Notamacropus eugenii: one gene and its partner. The protein of the gene in region 1 interacts with the protein of each later gene in a biochemical or structural test. Links are inferred from orthologs where the notes say so. Each region holds a gene or a part of one and is shown in the gene's direction. Other genes may lie near its edges.

What was found.
Region 2: the proteins of CRY2 (region 1) and FBXL3 form a complex in vitro, tested with the Homo sapiens proteins (2 studies listed by BioGRID, with this or other methods). The link is inferred for Notamacropus eugenii from reciprocal best matches to the Homo sapiens genes CRY2 and FBXL3.

The regions. Positions count from the first base shown.
Region 1 is NC_092877.1:5,012,554-5,022,043, reverse strand, and holds the start of CRY2 (cryptochrome-2), read left to right. Parts: upstream 1-5,037; 5' UTR 5,038-5,106; coding exon 5,107-5,327; intron 5,328-6,502; exon of another isoform or gene 6,503-6,522; coding exon of another isoform or gene 6,523-6,593; intron 6,594-9,490. UniProt on the Homo sapiens protein: Transcriptional repressor which forms a core component of the circadian clock.
Region 2 is NC_092877.1:260,062,512-260,072,768, forward strand, and holds the start of FBXL3 (F-box/LRR-repeat protein 3), read left to right. Parts: upstream 1-5,835; 5' UTR 5,836-5,973; intron 5,974-10,257. UniProt on the Homo sapiens protein: Substrate-recognition component of the SCF(FBXL3) E3 ubiquitin ligase complex involved in circadian rhythm function. Plays a key role in the maintenance of both the speed and the robustness of the circadian clock oscillation.

The DNA.
Region 1 (9,490 bases):
CATGTCTTTGTACTGGCTGTGCCTCATACCTGGAATGATCTTTCTTCTCCTCTCTGCCTCTTTGTTTCTCTATCTTCTTTCAAATCTCAGTTCAAATCCTAGCTCCTTCAGTAGACCTTTCCCAGCTCTCCAAGCTGCTGACTCCTTTCAGAACACTTTTCTCTGCTTTGTATTTACCTTGTCTGACCCCACTGTTTACATGCTGTTTGCCTAGAATGGAAGCACCTTAAGTATTGTTTGTCATGGAATATACAGGGCCCATGACTGGGCCATGCAAACAGAATAAAAACGACAAAAAAAAGAGAATTGTTTGTTGCCCTTCTTTGTATCTCTAGCACTTAACACGGTTTAGAACATGGTAAGCTTTTAACAAATACTCCGACTGACTATGCCTCAAGCATACAAGGCAGAAGGCTGACTGTTCAATTAACTATTTTTTTAAAAAAATTTTTTTTATATTGCTGTCATTTCCCAACAATTCTTCATCCTCCTCAACTTTCCTTCCCATTAAGAAACAATACACATGATTGCATTGGTATATCTGACAAGGCATACCCCATTTTGTACCTGGAGTCCACCACCTCTCTGCCAAGAGGTGGGAGTCACAGTGAGTCCTCCAAAATCCTGGTTGGTTATGGCATTGATAAGAGTTCAGATGATGTGCTTATAAATGTTTAATAAGAGACTGAAAAAAGTTATACTTAGGCGCTTCTCCATGCAGCTCGAGGGCCAGTCCCTGGTCTGACTCCAACCTGGTCTCCAAGCACTTCGCCTGTTGCTTCAGCATCGGTTCTGGCCCAGCGCCAGCCCCCTTCCAGCTACAAATCTACAAATCTTTCAGCCTCTGGTTCGCTTTGAGCTCCCGCTCCAGCTCTAATTCCCAGATCGAGTATCCGGCCACCACGCCATGGCTAGTTCCTTCTCCTGATTATTTTCTGCCCGCCCGGGACTCAGGCTTCTTGCTGTGGCCGGCACAGGGTCTCTGACTGCTGGATATCTGCTCCGCCCCAACCCACTACAAACCTCTGGAAAGCAAGGAAGGCTATACCCACTCAGTGCAAAGTGCCCTGATCTTCGAAAACACAACAACTGCATGGCTAGTCACCTGACTCCACCTGTAATGCCCGGCTCTGTGACAAGACCATGCTCACACGATGGATACTGGTTAACCGTGGTCACCCTTTCATCAAGACTGTGGGCATGGTAGCCGGAGATGAAGAGACCTATGAGGTATTTGCTGAGCTTTTTGACCCAGAGATCCAAGAAAGACATAATGGCTATGATCCCCGAACAATGAAGCATACCACAGACTTGGATGCCAGCAAGATTCAAGCTGGCCATTTTGATGAGAGGTGTGTATTATCCTCAAGAGTCTGGACTGGCCAAAGCATCAGGGGACTCAGTCTACTCCCTGCCTGTACAAGGGCTGAGTGACGAGAGGTGGAACGAGTTGTAGTGGATGCAGAGTGGCCTGCTCAGGGAGATGACTAAGGCTGAGCAACAGCCGCTTACTGATGAACACTTCCTATTTGACAAGCCTGTGTCTCCCTTGCTGACAGCAGCTGGAATGGACCGAGACTGGCCAGACACTCGAGGAATCTGGCACAACAATGAAAAAGCTTCTTCATCTGGGTGAAAGAGAAGGATCACACACAGGTCATCTCAATGGAAGAGGGTAGCAACATGAAAAGAGTGTTTGAGAGATTCTGCCGGGGGCTCAAGGAGGTGGAAAGTCTAATCCAAGAACGTGGCTGGGAGTTCATGTGGAATGAGCATTTGGGTTACATCCTGACTTGCCCTTCTAATTTGGGAACTGGACTTCGAGCAAGTGTACATGTCAAACTGCCCCTGTTAAGCAAGGACAGTCGATTCCCCAAGATCTTAGAGAACCTAAGGCTACAAAAACGTGGAACTGGTGGGGTGGACACAGCAGCCACAGGCAGCACTTTTGACATTTCCAACTTGGACAGGCTAGGCAAATCAGAGGTGAAGCTGGTACAGCTTGTCATTGATGGGGTCAACTACCTGATTGACTGTGAGTGGCGGCTAGAGAGAGGACAGGACATTCGTGTGCCTGCACCCATAGACCTTCCCAAGCACTCAGCCAATTACTCATCGAATACCATCTCCTGCCAACTGTGAATCTGACCCTTGACCCAGTAAAAACCGTCTTGTTATGCATAAAAAATTGTACTTACAGCATGCTTTTACATTTAATTTACATCATTAACACTTGTTCCATAGCCAACAAAACTATAATAAATCACACCCCGATTTGTAGCATTTGCTGATTTCAGAGGGGTAAATTTAACACATTCCAAGCTGACTGCAGTGCACTCTTGGAAAAGTCCTTGCAAGGTTATTTTCTTCACATTTATTGAGGTCAGTGTCTAAATTCTGACTAAATTCTCTTGGTTGCTTGCCCCAATGCTGAACAATACTCGCTAATAGAAAGCTCTTTCTCAAGTCTAATCTAAATCTCTCTTATTTTTAGATAGTTTATTTTTCCCAATTACATGTTAAAACAAAAATTTAACGTTTCTTTTTAAGCTGAGTTCCAAATTCTATCCCTCCATTCCTTCCTCCCTGCTCCCCTCCCTGAGATGGCAATCTGATATAGGTTATACATGTGCAATCATGTAAAATGTTTCCATATTAGTCATTTCATACAAGAAGACTCAAACAAGAAAAAGGAAGGAAGGAAGGATGGCTGGAAGGAAGAAAAAAAGAAAGGAAAAACAGCCTGCTTCAGGCGGCATCCAGACAACGTCAGTTCTTTCTCTGGAGGTGGATAGCACACCTCATCGTGAATCCTTTGGGATTGTCTTAGATCACTGCATTTCTGAGAACAGCTGAATCGTTCACGATTCTTCACTGTACAATACTGATGCTACCATGTACAATGTTCTTTCTCCTGGTTCTGCTCACTTCACTTTGCATCAGTTCATCTAAGTCTTTCCAATAAAACTTTCTCATTGCAGGCTACTTTTGATTAGCCCTTTCCTGGAGATGACTATCACATTCCTTAGAATAACTCTATATCTCTGAGGCATAGAGGATCATATCCTAAATAAGATTGCTCTGTCCAATATCATTAAGCAGTGACATCCTTGAATATATTATGATAATGACTGATATCAACAGAGGCTTTAAAGTTTGCAAATTTACTTTGCACTGTTGTTATTCAGCTGTCTGACTCTCCATGACCCCACTGGGGGTTTTCTTGGCAAAGATACTGGAGCGGTTTGCCATTTCCTTCTCCAGCTCATTTTACAGGTGAGGAAACTAAGGCAAAAAGGTTAAATGACTTGCCTAGGGTCACCGAGCTAATCATCTAAGATCAGATTTCAACTCACAAAGTCCATCTGCTCCCACTGGATCCTCACAATGAGTTCCATTTCCATCGTTAACCCATTTTACAGGTTCTGAAGGGTTACCCAGGGTCACTAGCTAATATACTTTAAAGGCAGGATTTCACTCTAAATCCAGGGTTCCAGCCTGGTCCACACCGTACTGAGTCTGCTTCAAAAAACAACACGTCAGTCCTGGCTGTAGGGCAACTTACCTAGCTGTCCACTTGGAACAGTTTCTCTCCAGAACCCACGCTCCCTGCAACACAAAGTGACATGTTCGCCTGAATCTTACTGGACAGAACGTGCCTTTATTGGTTGTGTCAGCCCGGAGCCTTTCTGTCACCAGAGGACCGTCACTGCTCCAAGCACTGCTGCTCCTCCTAGGACTTGCGCCAACGTCTCCATGCAGAGAGCCCGCAATGGGTCAAGGCCGGTAGTTATTCCCTGGCAGAGTCACAGGGCTGGAAGAGACCTTGGAATGCAGGACACTGGCTCTAAAAGGCTTAGAAGGCTGACCACCCGTCTGTCACGCGCTGTGCCAGGCTAGGTACTGGCAGTGCAGAAACAAAAGCAGAGCGGTCCTTGCCCTCAGTGAGCTTCCAGCCCATTAGGGCAAGGGTCTTTAATTTTAAAAAAAGTCATTTTTAATCACTATACCTGTTTTAATAAGTGTTAGCTCCCAGTTCTCCCCCACTCCCACTGAGAAGGCGAGCAAGGGTATCCATCGTGCGTGAAGTCACGCACCAGGCTCCCATGGGAGCCATTCCTCAAGGCAGGCAGACAGAGAGGTGCGGGGCTGGGGCGCGTTTGAAGGCTGCCAGCCGGCCCCCCCGCACCCACGCGTTTTGTTTCACGCTCTTAAGAACCTTCTCTGGGAAGGGGCCCATGACCCAGAAGGGTAAGAAGCGCTGCACAGGTAAATCACCCCCGCGTGCGGGAGTCTGCTGGACACCTATGTGCGCGGGCACGGACCGCACGGGGGTACACGTGTGGCTGCTGCCTGCCCGGCCCTTCCCGTCCGCAGGGAGAGGAGGAAACGGAGATCGAAGGACACCCCCCCCCCAGCCGGGACCCGAGGCTCCAGCTCCCTCCCAGGGCCGACCCCCGGGACTCGGGCCCCGCCCCCCGCCCCGCCCGGACTGAGCCCCTCCCCCCTCGCCGTCCGGGCCGAGCCACGCCCCCCGCCCCGTCCGGGCCGAGCCACGCCCCCCGCCCCGTCCGGGCCGAGCCACGCCCCCCGCCCCGTCCGGGCCGAGCCCCTCCCCCCTCGCCGTCCGGGCCGAGCCACGCCCCCCGCCCCGTCCGGGCCGAGCCCCTCGGAGGGACAGGCGGAGCCCCGAGGGTGGGGCAAACGGCAGCAAGGGGAGTTCCTCGAGAAGGTAGAAGTCCGCGTGCCCCCCCGAAGCGCCGGCGGGCCCAGGACCGGACCCCTCCCTGGGTGCCCAGGGTGGAAAATGAAGAACAGACGTAGCCAGAAACGCAGACGCAGTGCGTCACCGCCGCCCCGCCCGTGGGCCCCGCCCCCTGTCTGGGCCGACACACATGGTGGGAACGTGACGGGGCGGGACCGGTCCCAGGCCTCTGGGCCAATCAGACCACGGGAAGCTCCGAACCAGTAGGACTGGCAGCCCGAGAGCAGGGAGGCGGGCCTGCGAGCGCAGAGGAAACCCCATTGGTTGAGGTATCTCGAGGGGGCGGGGCCTGAGGGCCCGACCTGGGCGGAGCGGCGGCGTCGGCCGCAGTCTGGGTTGTGATGGCGGCGACGACTGCGGTGACGGTGACGGTGCCGGCCGCTGCCCCCGCCCCGGCCCCGGAGGAGGGCGCCTCTTCCGTACACTGGTTCCGCAAGGGGCTGCGGCTCCACGACAACCCGGCGCTGCAGGCGGCCCTGCGCGGGGCGCGCTGCGTGCGCTGCGTCTACATCCTCGACCCGTGGTTCGCGGCCTCGTCCTCCGTGGGCATCAACCGCTGGAGGTGAGCGGGCCGGGAGGGGCCTGCGTGGGGAGGGGGCGGGGGTGACGCGACGGCGGCGGCGGAGGGGCGGGGCGGGGCGGGGGAGGGGCCCGGCCCGGGAGGGCGGGGTGGCCGCCTCGGGGCCTCGGAGCGCGTGTCTGCCTCGGCCTCCCGTCCGAGCCGATGCCGGAGGAGGGGCCCTCCCGCGGGGCGAGCCTGGGGAGCTCCGAGCGGAGCCCGTGCGGAGGCGTCTGCCCCGGGGGGGGCGGGGCTGGGGCTCCGGGGCAGATCCGACCTGACCCTACGGCGTGATGCAACCCAGTGGCCTGTTTGCGTTGTGGAGGCCTCGGACCTGGCTCCAGGGGCAGTGCCCCGTGGCTGGCCAGCTGCCTGGTCAGCGTCCCTCTGCCCCTGAGGACAGGGCCGCGGGCAGAGCCAGCCTGCGTGGTCTGTGCTGTCCTTCGTCAGGCTGGCATGCTAAAGCATGACCTCAGATGGTAGATGATGGTGCCCACCGTCGCTGCCCTTCCTCCCCCGCATCTTTTCTGGTCACCAGATGAAAGCTTAGCCAGACCTTGAGGGCTCTGTGCCCCTTCCGGAGGACTGCATGCCAGTTAGGCCGTAGCCCGGAGGCCGCCTCGTACCCGCCCGTGGCATCATTTTGTGGAGCACTCCCGTGGCTGGCCCTTTGAGGGCTCTCCTTCTGGCTCCTCCCTCACAGAGCAGGGAGCTGAGGGCCAGGGACCAGAACAACTCTGCTTTTCCAGTGTGCGTGACTTAATGGGCATTGAATAGGGCCACGTGGGTCATTGCAAAGTGCCTGGGTACTGGTTGCGGTGGAATTTGGCAGCAGCCACGTGTGGTGTGCAGTTTGGTGTTTGCCACGAACGTTCTGTGGCTAGTTTTCAGATGATTAAATGGAAGGAAGGACATCGCATGGCAGGGCATGGTACCTGAGTTGTACGCTGTGGGATTGATACAGAATCCCGGGAGCCTTACCACCCTGCCAGCGTGCTGCAGTTCTGTACAGGCTGTTTGGCTGGCCAGAAGGACGGAGCTGGGGGTGAAGCAGCACAAAACAGACTCCTCCCACCAGGTGGGGGGAATAGGCAGGATGAGGAGAGAGAGACCTTCCTGAGGTGGCATTCCCTGTGTCAGACAGATACAATACTGGCACTTGCAAGCTGCTTTTAGACTTACCAGGTGTGCCCCGCACATGCCCGCCTCCAGTGTGCTGGGGATCTTGGGGACAGTCCTAGCCACACCTCAGAACCAGAAGAAGAGAAGGTGAGCTGCCTTCCGGTTGTAGATGTTGGCATTTAAAATAGAACCCCCCCCCCACCTTTGGTGTAGGTAGGCCTGCCTGAGCTCGTGTAGGCAGGGGCCACAAACTTGGTTGTTGCTCATGGACTCCGACAGAAACTGTTGGTAACCTGAGGCAGCAGGTTGTGCTTCAGCCTCTGTATCCGTTGAGCTCTGCAGGATGACAGCAGGTAGGGAGCAGCCTGTCAGCTGGCTCTGATTGCAGGTGGCTCAGCACAGTCAGACTCCAGTACAGAGGAAGCTTTCCTGCAATTGGATCAGTGAGAAGGCAGGTGGTGCCTGGGGTGTACACGGATCAGAGCGTGGCACACTCATCAGGGGTGCTGTGCTACTTCTAAGCCATCCAAGCAAGTATCCTGGCCAGTCGCTTAATCATTCTGCTTTCAAGGTTCGAGTTTTCCATTTGTCCATAGGGGAGGAAAATCTCTGTCCTCATCTTCTAAATCAGGAGTAGGGAAAGCTTTTTATAATTGTAAATGGTTTCGCATGTCAGCCCTGGATCCCCTTCCTATTTGTGAAATAAAGCATACAACAGAGACCAGAAACCTGATCCTGCTGAAAAAGCTCCGGCTGTACAATTTCTTTATGTCCCATAGAAGCAGCCAGCTGAGGCCTGTGTTGTACTCATTGATGATGGCATGTTGGCCAAGGACTGGACCCCAAAGACTTTCATTTTGCAAAAGCAAATACGGCATATCTCTAAGCCCTCTTACAAAAGAGCAAGTACCTTTCAGCCATTCCCTTTGCTGAGGACTTGGGCTAGAAGAGATGGGAGGGGGCCTGGCAGGATCTTAGTCATTCCTTAAGGCTCTGTCCACAAAGGCCTCTCCTGAGGGAATTCAGGCTGCAGTTTGACCATGAACCTCTGGCGCCCCTTCCTGAGCCTCCAATCCAGTGAGACTGTTGTCTATATTTCAACATAGAGTCCCAGCTGGCTCCTTGTGGGGGGTACTCCCCATGCCTCTGGCCCAGGAGGGTGGATCTCACGCATTCTGCTGCAAGGGCCTGACCTGCTCTGCCAGGAGCTGAAGCCAGCCAGGGAACTCTGAAACCCAAAGATGATGGGCTAGCCTTTGTCTTTTATTTTCTTCCTGCTCCCATGGGGATAAATGAAAGCTGCTGAAGGGCCTTTCCTTAGATCTGACCCAGGAGTATCCATGTCTGCCAGAGCTGGCTGGCCTGGCTCCAGCTTGCCCTGATGTTATGCAGAGCTGACAGCCAGAGTGCTGTGGGGGCCGGGCCTCAGCTCTCTGCTAGAATTTGGGCTTCTGTCTCCCCATGGCCAGAAATATTGTCTTCTCAAGTGTCTTGGCTACTCACCGTCAGCCAGGCCTCTGTCTGGGCCCCTTTTATAACAGTAGCATACCAGATGGAGCATAGCAAGTGGGGGCCATTTCTCAGAAGGGAAGATGAACAGAGCCATGTGTCCTTCGGATGTGTTAGACATAGATCAGTCAGTGAACATTTATTAAGTGCCTGCTGTGTGCCAAGCATTGTGCTAAGCTCTGGGGAGACCCTCCTCTGGGAACTCCCGATCTACTGAGGGAAACAACATGTACAAAGCAAGCTATGCACAAGATCATTAGGAAATCATGATCACAAGTCATTAAAGGGGGTTGGGAAAGGCTTCCTGGAAAAGAAGAGATTTTAGTTGAGACCCACAGGAAGCCAGGGAAATTAGTAGGTGGAGAGGAAGTTAATCTTAATGAGGAGAAGCAGATTGAAACGAATTGAACAGGCAAAATGCATCCTGAAAACTAAAAATGCTGGGGTTGTAGGACAGGTTGCTTCCAGGCACTTGTTCAGGCTCCTGCACAGGTCGGCTCTCTGTCTGTGCCTCCCTGGGCTAAGGAGAGGGGAGCATCTTTTCTTTCCTAGCCTGGCCTAGCTGACTTCCTTGCCACCTAGACAAGTTGGAGAGATGTACATATTTTGGCGAATATGGGTCTAGAATGCTTAGTGATATAATGAGGCTGCTTCTGACTCCATTTTCTGGAGCTTAAATAAAATGTCACAGAGCCCCTGAGATGGCAGGATTTCAGAGACCCCTGGCCAAATAATAATCCCCTCTACAACATCCACCAAATGCTCATTTGTCATGTATTTAAAGACTTCCAAGAGGAAGAAGAGCTCCCATTCCACTGTTCACTCTGTTTTAGGAGTGGTCTCCTTGTTAGCAGGTTTTTTCTTATGCCAGACCTCAGTCTGCCTCTTGGTAATTCCCATCCACTGCTCCTTGTCCTACCCTGTGAGGCCAGATAGAAGGGGCCTGACCCCTTCCCTCAGTTATCATGCCTGCCCTACTCCTCCTTTTCTGCAGGCTAACCATCCCTGCCTCCTTCAGCCAGTCCTCTGACCCTTCGCAGTCGAGGTTACGCTTTTCTTAGACCCTCGCCCACGTAAGGATGCCCTCCTGAGAAATGGACCCATTTTCTAGGTATCTTCCCAAAGTCATTCACTACTGCCTCATCCCAATGGGAATGTAATCCTGGGGATCTCAGAGGTTCCCTGCAGGTTCTGGCAGGTTGTACCAGGCTGGGTCGATTTCCTGTAGGGGCCAAGCAACAGGATGTACGTCCGCTTTCCAGCACTGGCCCCGCTCAGTTTGGAGACAGATTGGCCAGCCATTGGAAGATGAATTATTTTGGTCACCGAAACTCCTGAGTGCCACTGAATGTGGAGTGGATGTCACCTGCAGGGATGGAGAGAGGGAAGGCTCACACCAATGGCATCATGGCACCTGAAAGCGATGAAGTATAAGTAAGATGGACTGTACAGGTTGTGGAGTGAGGGGGGAAGCCACTGGATTGGAAGTCAGAGGACTTGGGTTCAGATTCTGGCTCCCCCAGTTCTCATGTGAC
Region 2 (10,257 bases), about 260 Mb from region 1:
TAGAGAACCTAGAGAAAGCATGGCTTCCATTGTTTGTGATGGAGTTGTCAAGATTCTCTCAGCCTGTCCCACTGCTCTTCCTGAGAGGACAAAAACAAAACTTTGGTTGCCCAGGCTTCTTATGCAGAATGGCATCATGCATTTGTCTTCTGCCCCTCCTTCCCCCATATTTTAACTTTCTCTGGAACTTGTTTAGGGACATGATCATAATAGTGTCTGCATTCAACATTGTTCCCTTTATTTCCGTCTAAAGTCATGCATATAAAAAGAAAATCACCTAGAAAAAAATATTTTAAAGAGTGAAGTTGGGGCTCAGATTCCATAAGAATCTAGCCTGCTTTCATTAGTGATACAAATGGTCAGATTGCTTAAAAGTCTGGTCAAGGTCAGAGTCAGTCTGGCCTGCTTGTCAATACAAGTGTCACAAATGCTCAGATTCTTTAAGAGTCTGGCCAAAAACCCAAACAGGTGTTCTAATACACTTTGCCTGAAAGAAGGCTTGGGTTAAATTTATTTGAAGCAGGACCTGCTGTCACTTGTCCTTGAATTTTGGGGTCCCAGCACCCCTAGACTTCAACATTTTGGTTCCCTGAGACTGAGAAACTGCCTAATCTCAAACTCTTCTCCAGCCAAGATTGGAAGGAATGTAAGACTCCCCTCTCTCCCTATTCCTCTCTTGTCCTGCAGTTGGGGTCGGCTCTCCAAAGCACTAGGAATGTTCTGTAGTCCCGGCTCTGACCAGGCTAAAACCACAGTGAAAAGTTAGAACAGCTAAAAACCTGTTAGCAGATTCTGGAAGTTTTGTGAGTGATCCTTAAGGACTTTTGAAACACCTCCTTACAACCCTGGTCACTCCCTTCCCCAACTCCCATCCCTTGAGTCAAGAGGATTATCTCCATTGGGGGACTGGAAACAGCCTTGGGCTTTTCTGTTAATCCCTCCCATCGAAGGTCAGACTAGAAGAAGAGAACTTGGGGGATGGGCAGCAGCTGCAGCATTGGGCCCACTGGTAATGGACCTGAGCACCTGGGGCCGGAGAGCCTGGAAGTATGAGATGAGAAGCCAGCCAGCCTCTGCAATTTGTAAGCCCATCTTTAATAGTTTTTATATGATCTGGAAATGTGATTGATGTCATCTGAAGTTTAAAATTGTAAGATTGTTGGTTATTATTTTAACGTGTAAACTTCTCAACAAGTTTGTTGGGGTTATGGAGTTCCTAAACAATGAATTTGGCTTACTCAGAATTTGCAAGTATGTAGAAATGATTGGGAAACTGTGAATTATCTGAATTCTAAGAATATTTTATCCTGTATAAATCTTGCCCGTGCTTTATCCTTTTATAACAAATTTCTATAATCAGAGCAAGTAGTCAGTAAAAGATATAAGCACAATGCAAGTGTATGAGATCTTGCTGTTTTCACCTGAATGTGTAGTCATTCTATACCCCAAACAACCGAAATTAAATCAGAAACATCTTCAATTTGGTTTGGGGAAGAGAATTTCAGTGCAATTTATTTTCTTAGAGGGAGGTAATCTATTTGACCTAATCATTACTTAAGTATCCTCCCTAGTCTTTTATTCTAATTGGAGTAAAAGTCAGTCCCTGTTCAAGGGTGGAAAACTTTTTTTTTATTAAATTATTTTATTTGTTTTCAGTGTTCTACAATCACTTCCATATATCTTAGATTTTTTTCCCCTCCTCCCCTTCCCCCCCCTCCCCACTTCCTCCCTGAGATAGTGCACAATCTTATATGGGTTCTACACATACATTCCTATTAAATACATTTTCACCTTAGTCATGTTGCATAGAAGAATTAAAATGAATGGGAGAAACCATAAAACTAAACAAAACATAATACAAAAAAAAATTGGTCTGCTTCATTATGCAATCCAATTTCATAGCTCTTTCTCTGGATGTGGAAGGCATTTTGCCTCGAGTCCATTGGGAATTTTTAAAGTTCTTGCATTGCAATGAAATACTAAGTCTATCAGAAAAATTCCTCGCACACGGTGGTTATTGCTATATACAAAGCTCTCCTGGTTCTGCTCCTTTCACTCAGCATCAGTTCATTTAAGTCCTTCCAGGTCTCTCTGAAGTCTTCCTGTTCATCATTTCTAACCGCAAAAATGTTACTAAAACTTTTGAGAAAGTAGCAAAATCAGATAATCTTGCAGGTCAAATGTAAATAATTTTAATGGGGTCCTTGCACTTTTCATTCTCCCTACATTTGGGCCCTGCAGACTTGCTTGTTAGATTTGTGTCTTCTAGGCTACAGGTCATTCACCTACAGTTGGTGGCAAACAATAGGTACCAGCCAACGTCCCCCCCATCATCCCCTGAATGCAGCCTCTGTTTGGGTCCAGTCAACCTCCTCTGGGACACTCCTGAGGCAGGGACAGCTCCATGGCCCTTGCTGTAGGATGGAGTTTCAGAAGCTAAGACCTTTGCCCCTTACCCCAAAAGAATTTGGGTTCCGTTTGTCTGAAGGTGGAATGATGGGGATGGGATCTGAACCCCTAAAAGGAAAAGATTATGTCTTTGGGATCTGGAGCCCAAAAAGGAAAAAATCCTGAACTTTCCCCAGGTTCTTGCCATTTGCCTGGGGCATCCAGCCTTTACTGTTCCTTCTCAGTTACCTCCCAGTCACCCTAGACTACTTGACCACTCCTAGATAGATCCTTCCCACAGTCTTTCTGTATATAAATTCCATTTTACCCACCCCTCCCCACCCCCCCATTAAATTGCTCAGATTCCTTAAGAATCTGGCCAATGCTCAGATTCAATTTCTTTTTTTTTTTTTTAAAGTTTAACAATCACTGCCATACAATTGAGATTTTATCCCCCCCCACACCTACCCCCCACTACCTCCCTCCTTCCCCACGACTGCATACAATTCTGTATAGGTTCTACATATACTTTCCTATTGAGTATATTTTCACTATAGTCATGCTATGTAGTCAGACTAAAACAAATGAAAGAAATATAACAAATTAAAACATGATACACAAAAACATACACATACACAAACATGATCTGCTACATTTTGCGAATGACTTCCATATTTCTTTCTCTGAGTGTGGAAGGCATTTTGCCTTGAGAACCACCATTGGGATTTTTTTTTTTTAAGAAGTTCTTGCATTATTACGAAATTCCAAGTCTACCAGAAAAAACTCTTGCACACTGTGGTCGTTGCTGTGCACAAAGTTCTCCTGGTTCTGCTCCTTTCACTCAGCATCAGGTCATATAAGTCCTTCCAGGCCTCTCTGAAGTCAGATTCAATTTCTAATAAACCTTAAAAATTGACTTTCAAATACAAGACTCAAGAGAAGCATGAAAAGATAAACAGGAAATAGAAATCATAAGGGACTTGTTAAAGTTGAACTGTTTACATTCCTACATGGAAAAATAATATTTGTAACTCCTGAGACCTTTCTCATTATTAAGGTAGTTAGAAAGAATATAAATAGAGGGCATAGGTGAGTTGAATATGAAGGGATGATATCTAAAAATAAAATTAAGGAGTGAGAGACAGGAATGTATTGGGAAAAGAAAAAAGGGAGATGTAGAATGGGGTAAACTATCTCACATGAAAAAGGCAAGAAAAAGCTTTCACAGTGGAAGGGAAGAGGGGAGATGTGAGAGAGAATGAGTGAACTTTACTCTCACTGGATTTGGCTTAAGGAGTGAATAACATACACAGTCAGTTGGGTATGGAAATCTATCTTACCCTACAGGAAAGTAGGGGGGAAGGGTATAAGGGGAGGGGGTAATAGAATGGAGGGCAGATTGAGGGAGGGGGTAATCAAAAGCAAACACTTTTGAGGAGGGACAAGGTCAAAGGAGATAACAGAATAAAGGGGGGTGGGACAGGATGGAGAGAAATATGGTTTTTCACACCATAACTATCATGGAAGTGTTTTGTATGACTACACTTGTACAACCTATATTGAACTGCTTGCCCTCTCAATGAGGGTGGGGAAGGGTTTGGAACTCAAAGTTTAAAAAAAAAAGAATGTTGAAAATACACGCAACTGAGAAATAAGATACCCAGGCAATGGGGTACAGAAATCTAGCTTACCGCATAGGAAAATAGAAGAAGGAAATAAGAGAAGGGTCTGTGGGAAGTCAGAAAAGGGAGGGCAGATTGGAGGACAGGGTAATCACAATGCATACCACCATGGCGGGGAGGGGAGAGACGGGTGGAAAATTTGGAATTGATCATCTTTCTATTACGAATGTAGGCAACAAACATTATCTGAGATAACAGGGCAGCTAGGCGTCACAGTGGATAAAGTGCCAGGTCTAGAATCACAAAGCCTCTTCTTCCTGAGTCCAAATCTGACCTCAGACACTTACCAGCTATGGGATCCTAGTTTGCCTCAGTTTCCTCATCTGTAAAACGAGGTGGAGAAGGAGAGGGCATACCACTCTATTATTTCTGGGGGAAAAACCCCAGATGGGGTCATGAAGAGTGGGGCACAGCTGAATAACAACTTTGTGCATTAAATACCCACAGTGACTTACGCTAAACTTTGGACACATCGTGGATACTGAATTCAGAGGTCCTACCATCTAATAACACTAAGCAACCGAGGTTACAAATATTAAAAAAAAAAACCTTGGTTTCAATCTGATAAAGGATGAAACGATAACGTTCTGCATCACTGGAGGAAGTACTAACATTTAGGAAAATTAAAGAAAAGACGGACAAAGTGTTCCAGGCTCAGCGGCGCAGCCCCAACAACAGCGGGCTAGGCGGGCTTGGTGATAGGACTGAATGGTCCAGGGGTCTGCGGGGCGGGGACCCGGCGGCCCCCTGGGTCCTCAAGGGCGGCCCTCTGGCGGCGTCCCCTCAATAACACTATTTGTTCCGTCCCACTCGGAGGCGGCCCGGGGCTGGGAAGGTCCCCACATCCCCGCACCTCGTTCGTCACGTCCTGGACTCTCCTCCTGCCAACCCCTTGGTTCCATCCCCAGCTCCCTGAGGGAGGTTTTCGGTGTGACTGCGGTCCAGCATTTCCCCCAACTTCTTAGTTATTTCAGGAGAGGTCCCTCTGTTGGATTACTTTTTCAATCTTTAGAGCAAACTGCGGGCTTTAAAAACAGGGGCCTTTGGAAGCCTTTCTTCACGCCGCGGCGCACCCCAGGGGTTCCTCTTCGGGACAGTCCCGTCATGAGCGCCCTGGAGAGGCAGGGGGCGCAGAGCAGAGCCCGCGGCCCGGGGGGACCCCCGCCCAGGGCGCCCTCTTCTCCGCCCGAGGCACTTTTCTGACGCCGCATCGTCGGCCTCCGCTTTCCTGGGGAAGAAAACTGCAGGATTCTCGCTCGCTCCTCCCCTTCCCTCTGAAAATTAGAAGCTCCGTAAACACGCCCTCCTCCCAGTAATCTGGAGTTTTCTGAAGCCCGAAAGAGGGAGCTGGGAGGCGCGCTCCCACCACGGCGCATGCGCCGAGCCTGGGGGCGGGGCCGCCACTTTCCTTCCGCCTGCCGGCTTCGGCTCCGAGGCTCCTCGGCCGCCCGAACCGAGCGCGCGCCTGCTCGCCTGCCAGCGCCGGAGTGGGGGCGGGGAAGTCAAAGCGCGCGGCCGCGACGGCGAGCGCCATTTTGGACTGAGTGTCAGGGCGGCCGAGAGGCGCAGGAAGGGCAGGGGAGCTCGGCTGGCGCCGTGGCGTTCTGACGGGCACTGTCGGAGCTCGGGCCGGGGAGCCAGGGCAGAGAGACTCGGAGGGGGCGTGATCGAAGCCCAGGGCTTCCTGCGGAGGGGCTTCGGGGAGGGCCCCGGGGGCCGGAGAGGCGGAGCAGCCGCGCCAGCACCTCGGGCTCGGATGCAGGCGGAGCGCGAGGGGCCGCGGCGGCCGGTGTGCGGAGAGGGGGCCCCGGCGGGCCTGACGTGAGAGCAGCGGGAGCAGCCGCCGCCGCCGCCGCCTCCGGAGCCGGGGGTGGCGTGTGAGGGAAGCCGCCACCCGCACCAGGTAACGGAGCCTCGGCGTCCCGCCCGCCCGTCGCCCTCTCCCTTCCCCTCGGCCCCGAGACGGAGGGTCCGGCCGGCCCAGGTCTGGGGGAGGGCAGGGCCGGGTGTCCCGCGGGGCCCCGCCCGCTGAGACCCAGGAGCAGGGGCGGGGTGGGGGTCGCTCCGGTCCATCCCTCTTCTCTCCACCCCCTGAAAACAGGTCCGCCAGGTGCGCTGGCGGGCGTGGGGCGGGACCGCGCCCCTGCGCCCAGTCCTGGGGGTGGCGGTGGCTCGGGCGGGTGCCTCCCGGCCTGGGTCAGAAGCGGGGCCCGCTTCCAGCACGGACGGCGGGGGTACCCCGAATGTGGAGTGTGGAGTGAGTGACGGGACAGATGTCAGCAGAGACGGCTGCGGGCCGCCCCGCGCGTTCTGGGCTGCGTGTGGGCGAGGCCTGAGATCGGCGGGGAGGTGGCGGGGGAGGACCGCGCACGGGAGCGGAAATCTGCCAGTGACGAGCCGCCGGCCCTCGCCCTCCTCGGGCTTGTTTGGGTTGTGTCGGACGGAGTGCCGAGGCGCGGGCCCGCCCTCCGTGGGGAGGGCCCGGTGTTACTGGGTGCTTGTTTACTTTGTGAGATGGACGCTTCGTGTTATCCGTGAAAGTCCATTAAGATACCGTCAGCTGGTTTGCTTTGTGTGGGTTATCCCTCGCTGTCTTTTACCTGGACTTCTTTTTAGCACCAGCCTGGCTTCGAGCTGCTGTCCCGATGGCTATGTGCCCTCTCGCTAGTTTTAACGGCAGCTAGAGGCCAGGGGCTGGGGCTAGGCCTGGAATGGCACTGGTACCTAGCAGGTTTAGTCGTGTCCCTACCTTTCTTCTCGGCTCAGCTTTTGTCGTGGAGAGTTGCCGAGGACACTGAGGGATTAGCTTGCCCAGAGTTAGTTAGGCTGGGGTCAGAGTGGAAGTGCATGTGAGGCTGGCATTGAATGTCGTCAGTAAAAATAAAAGACGGATATAAAGGATGGGCTCTTGCCAGACTTTTCATACCGCAGATAAATATTAAAATGAACACCTCCCGTTTGAGAGGCAGCGTGGTTAGAAAGCTGAGCTTGTAACTAGAAAGACCTGAGTTAACCTGCCTCTAACGTATTGGCTCTGTGACCGTGGTAAATTAACCCCTCAGTGTTTAGGCCGGTGGTGTCAAATTCCGCAGACATATCCGTGCAGTGCATGTAGACTTAGAAAACCACAAATTAGGATTATCTGTGTTATATTTTTATTTTGTTAAGCATTTCCTAATTACTTCCAGTGGTAAAGCACTCTGCAGTTTTGCTGGTCCTGAGCTTGACACCTCTGCTTTAGGCAACTCTCACAAGACAAGTTTTCAGTAAAAGGGGTTGCTACATCTAGGAGTTCCCTCTACCACTGAAATCACAGAACTGTTCCTTTGCCAGTCTTGGACACTATTGCTGATGGTCAAGTTACTCTTATTTCAGTAGTTTTGGGGAGTGTTACAACTTAGCCCAGCAAAACCTTTCCTTTAGCTTGTGTTTTACTTGGTGATTTTCGTTCGAATCCAACGGCTCCGTTTCCTTACAATATTTAGGAACCTAGAATAATTATGTATGAAAGCACCATGTTGGAGCATCTGTAATTAGAAAAGTTGGTAACATGACATTGAACAAGTATGCCTGCAGAGGGCTGATTTTTGTTGCTCTGTAAAAAGTCTTGATTGACTTTTATTCTCCAGTTCTGTTCTGTCACACTCCTCTTCAAATATATAAGTACTTAACTTGACCAAAAAATGGGAGATAAATAGTTCATTGACCAAACTGCCCATAGGTGAATATCCCTGAAGCATCACTAACTTTGTAAAGTACAGATTTATGTGCAAATAGACTAAATAATTAACTTTGAAGATGATCTGAATTATTATAGGTAAATAATATAGGTGAAAAATTAATAAATTGGGCTTACTTGGCAAAGGATATTAAAACATACTAAAAGCCTAATTATATTCTGTGACTGTTGTTAATACACCTGCAACCTCGATGCTTATTTTTTTCTTTTCTAATTCCCTCAATCATCTAGTCTACATGCTTTGACAGGAATGACTTCTATACCATTCCCAATAAATTATTATCCAGCCTATGCTTGAAGATGTCCTGTGCTTCAGAACTTGTTAGAAAGTTGTTCTACGTGTATTAAGTATGTGGATGACCAGAAAGAGTGGTACCTCTCTCTACCACAAAGAGACTGGAAGAAAGACCACACTTTTGCTACTAAAGCAATATGTTTCAGTTGGATATTAACTCTGACCTCTAAAATAACTACCTGAGTTCTTTAGGTTGTAATTCTGGGTGTAGGACTTTTTAATTGATTAACAACCTCGCCTTGCTTCTACAAATTAATATCAATAGTCCCTTTATTCTGATATCTTGTTTATACAAGATAGTTTGCTTATTCCCATTAGATTGTGAACTCCCTGAGAGCAGGGCTTTTGCCTTTTTTTTGTAGCCCCAGTGGCTGGCACATAGTAGAGGCTTAATAAACGCTTCTTGACTTGACTATTTGGAGCTAATATTTATCTCAAGCAAATAGGAGCTAGTGGAGTACAGTAGAAAGAGTACTGTTGCTTAGAGGAGAACCTGAGTTGAAATCTTAGCTCTGCCATTTATTATATGTGTGATCTTGGAAAAGTCACTTAACCATTTTGGCCTTCATTTTTTCCCATTTGTAATAGAAGGGAATTGGACTAGATGACTTTTAGGTCCCTTCTAGCTCAAAAGGTCAAGACTTTATCATCTTTGACCAGCAAAACAAGGTTAATTCTTCCCCATTATATTTCTCTCCAGAGAGTTGAAGATAGCTATCTAGTTGGCTAAGTTTTTTGTTTTTGTTTTTCCTCCAGGCTAAACATACCCAGTTCCTTCCAATAATTTTCATGTGGCATGGTTTTGTGTGCTAGTTTTGTTCTGGTTGTTCTCCTTAAAATATGTTCAAACTTTGCCTTCCTAAAATGTGGCAACCAAAAGTGAATGCAGTATTCCAGATGCGATGGAGAATATGAAGGGACTGTTAATTCTCGAATTCTGAACAGTATGTTTATAATGTAGTCTAATATCACATTAGCTTTTTTTCTGCCATGTCACACTTAAGACACATACTAAGTCAATTTTGTTATTTTTTTTTAATTATCGCTAATTCTGTTGAGAATCAGTCACCATTTTTTCATTTTCCTGTTTGAAGACTTTGGTGTTATCCTTTGACTATTGTTTTTCACCTCATATACTTAGCCACTTATCCTTCTTTTCTGTCCTTCGCACTGCTACACTTCTAGCACAGACCCTCTTGACTCCCTTTCTGAACTATTGTAGTATAGCCTTATAACTGCTATTCATTCCTTTCTTTACCTATAAATTCCCTCCTTACCCTCTCAGTGGCAGTGCCAAACTAATATTCTTTACATAGATTTGGTCTTGTCACTCTTCTGCTCAGATGTTAAAATTAGCTTCCTGTTATTTACAGAATGAAGTTCAGACTGTTGCCTAGTATTCAAGATACTTTATAATCTTAAACACCTCCTCTGCTCCCCCACCTCCCCCATCTTTATAGCTTTAGAGACCATGTTTTTAACTTTACTGTCATCTGTAGTTCTGTGACAGGGCAACTGAATTTACTGCTGTCCTTTGAACATACCTGTACTTTCCTGCCCCATACTTCCCTGTCTTAAATGCTTTCCTGCCCTCCCTTCCCACGTTAAATTCCTATCCACCCTTTAAAATTCAAAACCATCCCTTTTCTTCCCTGACATAGCCTTTATTTAACATCTCTAATGCACTTAAGTATTTTAGTGGCAACTTTGTGCTGGATTGTAAGATAGCATGGACCATGTTTCAGCTCAACTTTGTACTTTTTGAAATTCCTAGCAACATACTCTTTACCCAGAGGACACTTACTTAGTAAAAATTTGTTAACTAGCTAAGAATGGTTTAAAGCAGTGGTATTAAACTCAAATAGGAACAGAGTGACTAATCAAAACATAAGCATCCCTGTGGATCACTTACTGACAGTTTTAAAATGTAATATTGCCTCCTGTATTATATTTTTATTTCCATTAAATATTTTCTCAACTATATTTTAATCTGGTTCTGGGCATTGTTTTGGGTCTCATTCTGTTTGACACCTGGTTTAAATGACTTAGTGTTAGCCACTGTGTATTTGGCATTGTATTTACAATTTAGTGGTTCATCTTACAGGTTAATAAACAGCTTGTTAAAATATATTTTTTTTCACTTACAGAAAAAA